Danio rerio: one gene and its partners. The protein of the gene in region 1 binds, or shares a complex with, the protein of each later gene. Links are inferred from orthologs where the notes say so. Each region holds a gene or a part of one and is shown on either strand. Other genes may lie near its edges. The genes, in order: eif4e2rs1, tars1 and gigyf2.

Region 1 (4,174 bases):
TCCATAAATATATTTAGAGATATCTCTAATTATATTTTGACTTGTCATAATTATAATTCGACTAGTCAGATTGGAAATATCTGCAAATATATTATGATAGACTAGTCATATTCCTCCATTGACTTCCATTGAAAAATATTTGCAGATATCTCTAAATAAGTTGACTAGTCACAATTGTAATTAGAGATATCTCCAAATGAATTTTGACTAGTCAAAAATCCAATTCAAGATATCTACAACTGTAATTAGACTTTTAGTAAATTAATTAGAGATATCTTCAAATATATTTGTAAATATCTCTAAATATGATGAATTAAAGATATCTCTAAATGTATTATGACTAGTAAAAACTCAGAGATATCAATTACAGTTGTTACTAGTCAAAATTCATCTGATTACGTATTAGTACAATTGTAATTGCAGATATGTCTAATTGTCATTCTGAGTAGTGGAATTATAATTATGACTAGTCAAAATATAATTAGAGATATCTCTAATATATTTATGGAGCCAGAACAAAGATTTAAATGCTAAAAAGGCTTGCCATAGAGAGCGCTTCTCACTAAACAGAGCACCGCGCAACCTTCTATGTAATGTATTATCACATGCACTAAAAGCATCCTAAAAGCATCAACACAGCCACATTCTGCCCCAGCAAGTCAGTTTCAAACATAAAAAAACAAACAAACAAACTTTGTGTCTTTTTGTGGCAGGCAGATGACAATAGCAGGGCTGTATCTTTTAGTATTATATAGAATACTTTTGTTCTGCCAGATCTCCCAGGCAGGGTTTTATTTAGATTTATTTAGTTAATATTAGTTTTTGGAATTCTGTCCATTGGAAAGAAGTTCTTTCAGAAGAAGAACAGTTTTTTGAAGTATTATTTGTTTTTATTCTGTCTATTCAGTGTCCTTCAACAAGAACGGTGGTGGTGGGGTTCATAATATTCACAATGGTATTTTATTAGTTGTTGGTTTAACCATGGATGAGATAATGGCTTCTATGTTATTTTCTTTTCAATGACATTTCTTATCACATGTTCAAAAACAACAGCCAATATTGCATATCTATAATTTATATAATGGGTATAATTAAACAATACTTTCACTATAACGTAAATTAGAAGTGTAATAGAAAAAATATATATTTTTGCGCCATTTTGAATTTCACTCGAATACAAATACAAATACAAATACTTTTCCCCCCTCAACAAATACAAATACAAATACAAATACCGGCTGCTCCGCACATCCCTAATATATATATATATATATATATATATATATATATATATATATATATATATATATATATATATGAGCAATTCCAGCATTATGGATGTGACATTTGCAGTAAAAACTCAACACATAAATTGACAGAGGAAGTATATGTTAACATTATATTGAAAAATTTGATTATATTTTCTAGAGCAACTAGCCACAGAGTTATGGGAGCAGAAAAATATCAATCTGTAAACATGTTTTGTACTTTAAATGTGGAAAATAAGCATGCGTTATGGGTGTGACAAAAAAAGTCTGCGAGTTTACAGTATACAACACACTTTGTAGAAATTATGTGAATTAAACTGCACAACCCAAAAGAAATAATGCTAATCAAAAGGATTTGAGTCGGCTCTCTATAAAACAAAAATGATTGGTTTTATTTTATTTAATATTTTCACATTTCTGAGGAAAAAGTGTTGTTATGCATGTGACATCTCTCTGTTATGGATGTGACGCATGTGAAATTACCATTTGTGTGACTTTGGTAAATCAAATAGTAATAGTTTGAAAACATTAACAGATGCTTTTTGAGTATTTTTAAAGTACAGTAAAATACTTGCCTACACAAAAAACCCAGAAATGGTTTCCGTATTTTGGTAAAAACTTAATTTTTTTTCATGGCAAGGTTGACATTTGCACAGAATTGCTCATATATATATATATATATATATATATATATATATATATATATATATATATATATATATATAATTTTGGAAAAGTATTTCTGCAAATTATAAATGGTAATATCATATTAGCAGCCAATGGCTATCGAAGTACAGCATTGTTTACAGTCAATAAATAGTGCTAATGTTGTTTTAAATTCATAATTTTAGGTAGAATATTCAAATTACCATGGTAAACAGGAATTATGTTAAAAATATATATGGAAATATAGGGTGCATGTAACAAATTGACACTGAATGAATGTCAGAAATAAAACCAACTTTACCTCAATTGTGTGTTGTGTATATAAACATACACATAATAAATAAAATAATGTACATAATAGATAAATAAAGGTACATATTTGTTTATTTTACTTGTGTTTAAAATGAAGATGAATCTAAATCTACTGTTAAACAGTGCACTAAATCAAAGCAAATACTGTATATAAACGTGTGTTCCACATACACATATAAACAATTCCACACATTAATATTACTGTAACACATTAAATAAATGTATCGTTATTAAACTAAAGACATACACACCACACGTTAATCTTTATATAATGTTAATAAACCCGTGAGTCTTGTTGAATGTATCTGCTTTATGTTTGTAATAGCTGAAGTTAAATGTTTAATGGAGAATATTAGCCGTTAGCCGCTAACTTACTGTTCAAACTGATTCATTCCGCGTTGTCGTTCCTGCTTCTTCTTTCAACGTAAACCTCGATATATAAATACGCTTTATAACTTTTGGAATAATTACTGTTATGTTAAACTATTAGATGTTAGTGTGTTTAATTCAACGGGCAGAGAATAAACTATACTACATGCTACACTGAAGCCAACCACGGTCACTGCGCATGTGCGGACGGCAATCGAGAAACGACAAAAAGCACAAACCGCGGAAGACTCGCTTAAAGAGTACACAAACATGTTGATTAAACACAACAAAACGTTGAAATAATCAACGGCAAACAAAACATTATGATAACAGCGTGGTCGAAGCATACAAATCTTTAAAAACAAATCAATTAAATCCGTCCGATTTGCTGGTTTGAGCTAAAATATACAAAATGCTAAGTCTTGTTTACAGTAACTCAGTGCTCAGACAAAAAAAGCCTTATAGCAGGCCGTAGCCAGTCTTGTGAAAGGGTGGTTCTTTTTTTTTTCTAAAAAATGTGGACTTTTGTTGCAGTCATTCACCTCATTTTCTATTTAAATACTTCAATAAGAGGCATTTTAAGCACTATTTTAGTTGGATTAGCTTGTTCATCTAACAACAACCTATTAGTATACACAGCAAGAGTCAGTCTAAAGGCACTCGAAAAATGTGGGGAAAATAATAAAGCCTTTACTCACATGACTATTTCCTAAAACTGCACCTACACGTTTTGATAACCCTTTACTTCATCAGGGTAACCTGATCACAGTTTTAAGTCACAGCCATGTCAATAAAGGCCTGTTACTATTTTTTCCACATTTTTAAGTGCCTTGGACTGATTTTGATGTTTATTCTGATGAATCCCTTACACAAAGAGCACTGACACATTATTTAAGCTACCCCTGAAAACTTTTAGTTTGATTTTGGAGATTTACACAGCCTAGTTAGTGTTAAACTTAACTTTAATAGGCTACTTTTGGTGCTTCAGACCTTATATTAGTTATTTCTATCTCTCAAGAATAAGGTTAAGATTTTAAACAAAAGTCAGGCTACTTGTAAAATTTTTTTTTTTACAAAAGTCGGTCAATAGTAAAAGTTGACTTCACTTAAATATTGTGCATTTTCTTAAAACCTTCAATGATTTATTTACACAGTTTATCATGACATGTCAAAATAGGTCAAATGAGAATATAGTGGCAACTAGATGTAGACATAAATAACTTTATATAATTAAAACAATATCTACAAACTGCTTAACTAAAGACGAAACAGTATAAGTTAAACACTTACTATAGTAAAGTAATTAATCTGTTGTGGTGATTATGGTAACACAACAACTATAGTAATATAAACAATTGACCCAACCCACATAGCAAAATTTCTCTGGCCCAGCTCTGGCCCACACAATCAGGTTTTGCTTGGCCCACATGCCGCAGTGAATTACGGTACATGACTGGACCAAATCTGGCTTCCAGACAAGGGCCAAACACGGACCATATCTGGGCCAAGTCTCAGCCAAGTTAATAACTCATAACTGGGCCTGAACTGGGCCAGATAGG
Region 2 (3,655 bases), on another chromosome or scaffold:
CAGCGTATTAACACAAAGGCACCTTTTTACACCTTTTTACACAAAGGTACCTGATTTCAAACAGACTTTTGAGACAGCGTAATGATTTAATCACATACAACTAACATGAGAAAGCTTTGGTTATAAGCAGTCCCACACTGAATCTACGCGTGTGGAAATCTGCAGATTTTTAATTCATCATTTAGTCTATACATTTACTTTTGTAAATGTGTGTTAAATTATATTTATTAGTTTTTAAATTAATTTCAGTAATATTATTGGCTAATATGAAAATTTTCATATGATTTATTTACAATATAGTTTTAGTAATATTTTCTGTGTTTTTAAATCTATTATTAGCCTTTGTGAGACTTGCTTTGTTTACCAATTAAGCGGATCTAATTGAATTTGTATTGTAAACATTAAATAAAAGTTAAGAAGTTTTTTTTTATTTGATATATTAATTTATTTTAAATTTTTTTTAGTTGTGATACTCCCAAAACCTTTTCGCATAAATCCAGATTTTTTTTACAAAATTCTATGCAGAAACAGGAAAAAATATCTGCAGATTCTGTCTAGCCCTAGTTATAAGTTATATTTGCTCACCCCAATAGTTACTTCTCGAAATTTCATAAAAAAATTGATAACTTTTTAAAAACATACATTTACAAAAATGACTAAAATGGCTCTTTGAGAGTCTATTTTATTATTTAGTTCAAATATTACAAATGGAATGCACAGGATTATGGAATACCGAGGGCAGTGAAGTGCACATAGGCTGTGTTTGAAATTGCATACTTGCCTTCTATATAGTACGTAAAAAACAGTATGTGATATGAGTAGTATAATCAAATTCATAGAATTTGAAAAACAGTAGGCAAGAAGCATGATGACTTTCTATATTCGCAAGATTCTGAAGTGTACTTACAATGGATTATACGCTATGCCATAATTCCACACAAGATAATTCATGAATGGGAGTTAAGCAACGCAACTGAGGTGGGTAGGTTGTGTGATTATGACAAATGGTGGATGTAGTATGTTCGAGTTCCATTCAGACTTCTCATATTTATATTATATAGTATTTAGGGCTGTGCATTTAATCGAAAATCCGATTTCGATTTTGGCTTCTAACGATTATGAAAAATCATTAATCGAGATAAACTATTATTCCATCATATACGGCCCCCTTTTCAGTTGTACACATTTGTTGCTCTGCAAAGCTCAGTTCCATGTGAAAATAACTAAAAGCATGTACTGTTATGTAACTTTTGCAGCACGGGATGCGCATTGTTCATATTTTTAAAAGCTGTTGTGTGTGTGTGTGCACGCCGCGGATATGGCCTCGGACAGGCTCGCGCTTAGTCTCGGACAGCAGAGCACACACATCTAACGCCATCTTAATGTCGGCGCTTTAATGGTTAAATACATGCACATTTGTGTCAGAGGTGTTTAAGGATTATTCATATTAACTCTCATTTGTGTAATAAACAAACAAGTTGAGAATCAAAAGACATGTGAAAGAGAAACCATATCAGAACCGCACTATTCTTAAAGTGACAGCTTGCAATATTTCTGTGGCCAACTGTCTTTATTAATAATCAAAAAACAAATGGACAAAATCCTTCACTGCTCTTGACTGAATGACTTTTGTAGCTGAAGTGTTTTTTCTTACAGTGAAGATTCTTAAAGCACAGTTTAAACAAAACCGATTTAATAACTCATTTCTAATAAATGATTTCTTTTATCTTTGCTATGTTGACAGCACGTTATGTTTTACTAGATATTTTTCAAGATACTATTATTCAGCATAAAATGACATTCAAAGACTTATTTAGGGTAGGCAAATCATTGTATAACAGTAGTTTTTTCTGCACTCAAAAATTATATATTTCTTAAAAAGGCTAATAATATTGAGCTGTTAAAATAGGTTTCAAAATATTTAAAACTGCTTTTATTCTTTCCAAAATATAACAAATAAGCCTTTCTCTAGAAGAAGAAATATAGGAAATACTGTGAAAAATCCCTTTGTTAAACATAATTTGGGAAATATTTATATGTAAAAAAATTCACAGGAGGGCGAATAATTTTGATAATCTGATAATTGTGATTACAATTATGAACAAAGTAATCGTGATTATGATTTTTCCCATAATCGAGCAGCTCTAATAGAATGTACTTTTCTATCGGTCGTGTAGTACATACTCGAGTTGTAGACAGTTTCTGACACAACCATAGACTGCCTTAAAAATATGATCAGAATATAGCATCTACGGAGAAAGGATGTGAAGCAGAATTTGGATTCAGACATTTCTTGATACCTTTCTTTTAGAATACTGCATCAAAAGACAGCATTTTAGAGCTTTCAGACACAGACACACCTTAGCCATTTTCGACCACTGTGTTATTCATAACATTCACACGTTGAAGTAATCTTTCATGGTGTAACTACAGTATCTGGAGTTGTGGTATCTCCTAAAACAATTTTCTAATGATTCTTAACATATGAATCACTCTGACCATCTTACAGTATGCATAAAATAATATTAAAATTATTATTTTCAGTAGTATTCCAACACATTATACTTGTACATTAGTATAATTTGCTTGTGGCAAATGAATATAGTTTTCTGAATTAAAAACTGATATGTGACATCAAACGTAACGAACAAATCTTTACTAACATATTGTTGTTTGTATAAAAGGCAGGACAGTGTTGCTGAATTATACATGTTTGGTAAAGAAGATTTGGTAAGGAGAAGATTTCTCAGAGTTGTTTTTTTGTTTTCTAGTCTGATGTTTGACCACCGGCCACGTTCTTGGAGGGAACTTCCCCTGCGTCTGGCTGATTTTGGGGTTTTGCATCGTAATGAGTTGTCTGGAGCTCTGACTGGCCTGACAAGAGTCAGACGCTTCCAACAAGATGATGCTCACATCTTCTGCTCGATGGACCAGGTGTTTTACTGTTGAATGAACAATGCTTTTTGTCATTTGTTGTTTTCAGTGTTAACACTGAAATGCTAAGAATTTAGGGCAAAGATGAATTGTACCATTTGCAATAATAAAAAAGTACAAATGTACAAATAGGATTTTATATACAGAGAAAGATATTCAATGCAATAAAAGCATCAACTTTATTCTTTAGATAACTTGTTGAAAATTTGTCAAATACTGACGAAATAATGTTTTGTCAACATTCAGCACAACAGATATGATAATGTATTAATATTTAAATTTTATATATAATAAAAAAATCTATATTTATATATTTTTATATATATATATATATATATTTTTATATATATATATATATATATATATATATATATATATATATATATAAAAATATATATATATATATATATATATATATATATATATATATATATATATATTTTTTTTTTTTTTATTATTATGTCATTAAATTATCTTTGATCCATAATTATTATTTTTATTTACCGATCTAAATGTTTTAGAATCCTGCATTTCTTTTTTAGTGCATTAAAGGCATTTGCTTTATGAGCTTATGAATTGGTTTAAACTGAAATCAGGAGTTTATTCTTTGTTCCCCTCTTACCCCTGTCAGATTGAGTCTGAGATCAAAGGTTGTCTGGACTTCCTGCGTACGGTGTATGATGTGTTTGGCTTCACATTTAAACTCAACCTTTCCACCAGG
Region 3 (4,345 bases), on another chromosome or scaffold:
TATCTAAAGCACAGGCTAGGCTAGTCATCGCAGGATGTATTATTGCTTTGAGACTGGTGCTGTGAAATTGGAGGAACTCAGATACTCCCTCTTTTAAGGATTGGATTGAGCTGATGACTTCTACCTCATCTGTTGGCAAGACTTCAGGACTCCACCAATACTTTTAGTCAGAAATGGGGTAGCTTTTTACAGTATTTAGAGAGCATATAAAAGGACAATTGAAGGGTTGTCAATTTGACTGTCTGTTGTATTGTTTTATTAAATATTTTATATTTGTTATATATTTTTTGCTATTATTTTTATTATAATTTGTTTACATTCTTTTCCTGAATGTTCATTTTATATTGTGAATTTCATGTTGTGTGGGGTATAAAAGTTCAAAATAAAATAAAAAAGTTCAATGACAAAAAAAATTACAATTAAAATAAAAAAAATACGTTATATATATATTTTTTAAGAATTTGACTATTTTACTGCTATTTTATTGTTTTCTGATCCATTGCTTTTAAATTTTGTTTGTAAAGTGACATTACAGGCTTATAAACTGACTGATTGTTATATGGTCTTATCATACGAAAGCAGTTTCGAGAGTTCACACTTAGCTGATGATTAATTATAAAGCTTGTTTGGCATGCTGTCCCGGGAGAGTTGTTGAAATGTAATTCATAAAAATGTAATTGATTTAAATTAAGTATTCATTCGCAGTTAAACTGGTAAAGGACACAAATTGGATCACAGTTCAATTTAGAGGAAATACAGATTGTTTCCTTTTTTAGTTTTGACGCTTTCTAGGGCACTGCTCTACCCGCACGCATGATAAACTCTTTAAAGTGCTATATTATATGTACCCATTCTCAGAATGACACCTTTTTTTGCGTGACACAACAAGATGTCTCTTTTGCTTAGTTTCAGATCTTGGTGATAAGGAGTAGGCTAAGGGTTTGGGGGCTAGAGGTGTGTAACTCTTTTGATGTTTGACTCTTTTCACTTCTTCTAATAAACACCAACATGTTGATGCTTTTAATGATCATTCGTTTATATATTCATTTAAATAATGTAATTATTATGTCTGTAACAGATTAAAATATTAGAAATATCAGAACATGTGCTGTAAAAACAGTCCTAAATAACAACTTGAATTTCTTCAGATATGACACAATACAATTTTCTGATAATTTAAACCTTTTTGATATTAGAAAAATGATGTATAAATATATAAGTGATTAAGCTTATTTTGTTTGTGATTTTTCAAAGTTTTTGAGTGTCCTGGAATACAAATTATTATCTAATTCTAATGAACTTTGCCGAATTAATTACCATTACATTGTAAAACTACGTTCCATAAACCATTCAAGCTCTTTTAAAATCTTTAAAATAGCATTTATTTGAAGTGTCTGTGTGCACTGTAGTAAATATGCACTACGGAACTGCTGCTGTCAGCACGTTCGCTCACATCCGGGCCCTTTTCAGCCTACGTGTTGTCATGTGACCCACGTTCAGCCATCTTGTGGATACGAAACGAGAGACGCCACTCGCACACAAACTCAGCACTGTCAGTAAAAGCAGAGGTAAGACAGCGGCTCCGGCGTACATGGTTTTGCTCTAAAATAAAACGTAACTATTCCTACGCTATCTCTAAGTCTCATAGGCCTGCCACGACCTAGCGTAGCGTCGCTAATCTAGCCCGCATGGTTGTTAGGCCTCGAGGCGCCAGACTCGATTTGAGCGGCCTGCCGGTGATGATGCTATCAGCCTTAGGAAGGCGGCTGTAGCGCAGCGTGGTGTGGCTAAAAACTAAGCACAGGCCGCAAGGATTAAAACTCGTGTCAACTCACTCATACATTTACTTCGCTCACCGTTCAATGTGTATTCGTGATTGTGCTAGTATTTATTTCTGGAATATTTGACAGTTCGCCCACTTCGTGGTGTTGCGTGGGCTAATTTTTAAAGTTAGTAGGAGTTGGGAGTCAGAAAGTTAAATGCATGGCGATAGCCAGGCGAGTATGTCTCATCCCTATCGCCGGTTACATGGCATTTATAACGTTAGTTAACGATTCAGTCGTGCTTTATACATCTAAACATGCTTAAAACCGATTTGTTTGTGTGTCTTGATCTAAACGTTTGATTGTGGACTGCAGTGCTTGCAGGGTGTATGTATGAAGGCATGGACCGACAGTGATCTTTGGCATATTAAAGTGACATTTATCTGTGTTTGCTTTAGAGGTTTGTGTAAATAAATACACGATAAATTCACATTCAGATCAGTTACACATGATCGTATATACTAGCCTTCTTTATTGATCAAGTCTCGTCTGATATTGACAGTTTTCCTTATTAGTTTGACCTGTGAAGTCTCTCAAAGCTAAAATTAATCATTAAGATTTTTGTTATGTGTAAAAACGCGAATTTTATGCATTTTCAATCCTCAAAATGCCAAACCGTGGTGATTTATGTTCACTGCTCAGCAAGATGCAATCTGTTGACCATCTGTTTTGAAGCTAAACTAGCTTTATTGACTTTTTGTTCCGTGTTAAGCTGTTGAATTTTCCGCCCTGACTGGTTTTAAACAAATACTTGTGCTAAACATGCCTTTTGGGGACCTAGTGTGATCTAGTAGATTATATATGAAGATCCACATTTTTAATATAAAACATGATTGGTCGGTTTTTGTTGTAGGAAGCAAGCGTAATCTAGATCGTATTGCTTCATTGAGTTGTACACGTGGTTTAAATCCCAGCAAGTCAGCAAGTCACTCCTGTTTGTTTTGCATAGAGCTTATGTCATCATCTCATTGTGGCTGTGCACACTAAATTTAGAATATATTAGACCTAAAATAAAATGGCAAGCTTTCTTGTTTTCCCCCTTGGGTTAAACGGGTCTGGTTTGACAGGTCTCCTGAGATGACAGTATTTGACTATTATGAACATGTGATCAGTTCAAATCAAGTTCAGAAGAAGCTAGTTGTAGTACTGCATGGTGGGCAAGGGAAGCCGCGGGTTGCACAGATGTCTGAGAACGCCCTTCCTATTTGGGAGAGTTCTTAAAATAGCTCGTCACAGGAGGGGTGTATAGTGAGGTACCAGACAAATGGGGGTCACCTCTAAAATATGCTGAAAATATGCTGGTTTACTTGTTTCTCTATGTGTTTATTATTGAACCTGATAGAGCTTCACAGTATATGGTTTCAGGATTGATATTGCAATGTGCACATTTGCACTAGTCTCATCGCAGGATATGCAGTGTCAAGTCAGGATTAGAGTAGGATTTAAAATCACACTTGATCTTGGAATAATTGCAAAGTTTAAGCATAAAGTTACAAAACGTATGTGTTATTGCATGTGTTTTAAGCTCTCTGTATCCATTTCAATCCATTCATGCTCAAGAAGTGAACATTTTAGTAATTCGAATGACTAATTGTATTTATGTATAGTATATATGCAATAAATATTATATAGTGTTTTTTTTTGTTTTACGTTTAATTATGCAATTTGTCTGCCTGAATTAGGGCTGGGCGATACGGCAAAAATGCAATCTCTATAAATATTTTCCATATTGAATGATAACGATTTATATTCCGATATAAGTTATAATTGCTTTCAGATTTAAAAGAGTCCACCAACTATGACTGAGGCCACTAAAATTAGAAGGTCAATTAAACATATTTTCATAATAAAATATTAACATAATAAATATTAACATATTTTCGGCCAATAAATTTAGTAGCTGAAAATTCGGTACATTTCTAATGTCAACACACTTTTAGATTCCCATTGTTGCACTTTTCTGCTGTGTAATTGGCTCTTAGATCAATATAGAGTCAAAAAATCCAGAGCTTATCATTGTTGTTTTAAAAGAGTTTATCGCAATTCTATATAATATTGTTTATAGGTCCAGCCCTAGCCTGAATACTGTTAGACTTCCAGAAAAAAACAGGGTGTCCACGGGTTATTGAAGTCTTAATGTGTTAACTTTCAAAAATACAATTTTAGGGCTAAAACCTCTCAAGTTTCCTCAAATATTGTGTTTTAGATCTGAAAAAGTCTTAATTTTTCTGTGTTCATGTAAAACTAACCAATCGAGCAGATACTTTACACAGATCACCAAAATCCTTCTCAAAGTTTAATCAATTATTAACTCGGAGTATGATTTAATTACAATAAACATTTGTTAAAAGGTGTGTTTATAGCTACTTGGTGAGGACTGTTGTGAATATTTTTTATTATAGTTTTTAAAACTTATTTTTAATAAAGAAGTTTATGTTGGGAAACAAAGTGCATGTAAACTTGAGTTTGCTTTGTTTTATTACATTATAGTTAAGATTTTTTTTTCTTTTCTTTTTCGATTG

What was found.
Region 2: the proteins of eif4e2rs1 (region 1) and tars1 are in contact, whole or in part, in a crystal structure (PDB 5XLN), measured with the Homo sapiens proteins. The link is inferred for Danio rerio from reciprocal best matches to the Homo sapiens genes EIF4E2 and TARS1. Residues at the interface, in NP_004837.1 of Homo sapiens: His54, Pro55, Leu56, Gln57, Val91, Glu92, Phe94, Trp95, Arg96, Glu149, Asn150, Leu153, Leu156, Gly157, Glu158, Gln159, Met161, Val203; in NP_001245366.1 of Homo sapiens: Pro51, Glu52, Tyr53, Ile54, Tyr55, Thr56, Arg57, Met60, Tyr61, Ile63, Leu64, Glu67.
Region 3: the proteins of eif4e2rs1 (region 1) and gigyf2 are in contact, whole or in part, in a crystal structure (PDB 5NVM), measured with the Homo sapiens proteins. The link is inferred for Danio rerio from reciprocal best matches to the Homo sapiens genes EIF4E2 and GIGYF2. Residues at the interface, in NP_004837.1 of Homo sapiens: His54, Pro55, Leu56, Gln57, Tyr64, Arg66, Asn81, Lys83, Gln84, Ile85, Gly86, Thr87, Val91, Glu92, Phe94, Trp95, Arg96, Phe97, Ser99, His100, Met101, Val102, Leu107, Phe113, Glu149, Asn150, Leu153, Leu156, Gly157, Glu158; in NP_001096616.1 of Homo sapiens: Leu38, Ala39, Asp40, Tyr41, Arg42, Tyr43, Gly44, Arg45, Met48, Leu49, Leu51, Phe52, Leu53, Asn56, Lys57, Ile58, Pro59, Asp61, Leu62, Asp64, Glu66, Phe67, Pro69, Ile70, Leu71, Gln72.

What each region holds. Positions count from the first base shown.
Region 1 is NC_133198.1:48,179,293-48,183,466, reverse strand, and holds the start of eif4e2rs1 (eukaryotic translation initiation factor 4E family member 2 related sequence 1), read right to left. Parts: upstream 2,847-4,174; 5' UTR 2,639-2,846; coding exon 2,622-2,638; intron 1-2,621. UniProt on the Homo sapiens protein: Recognizes and binds the 7-methylguanosine-containing mRNA cap during an early step in the initiation. Acts as a repressor of translation initiation.
Region 2 is NC_133180.1:45,231,447-45,235,101, forward strand, and holds part of tars1 (threonine--tRNA ligase 1, cytoplasmic), read left to right. Parts: intron 1-2,771; coding exon 2,772-2,934; intron 2,935-3,565; coding exon 3,566-3,655. UniProt on the Homo sapiens protein: Catalyzes the attachment of threonine to tRNA(Thr) in a two-step reaction: threonine is first activated by ATP to form Thr-AMP and then transferred to the acceptor end of tRNA(Thr).
Region 3 is NC_133177.1:51,526,726-51,531,070, reverse strand, and holds the start of gigyf2 (GRB10-interacting GYF protein 2), read left to right. Parts: upstream 1-1,498; 5' UTR 1,499-1,568; intron 1,569-4,345. UniProt on the Homo sapiens protein: Key component of the 4EHP-GYF2 complex, a multiprotein complex that acts as a repressor of translation initiation. In the 4EHP-GYF2 complex, acts as a factor that bridges EIF4E2 to ZFP36/TTP, linking translation repression with mRNA decay.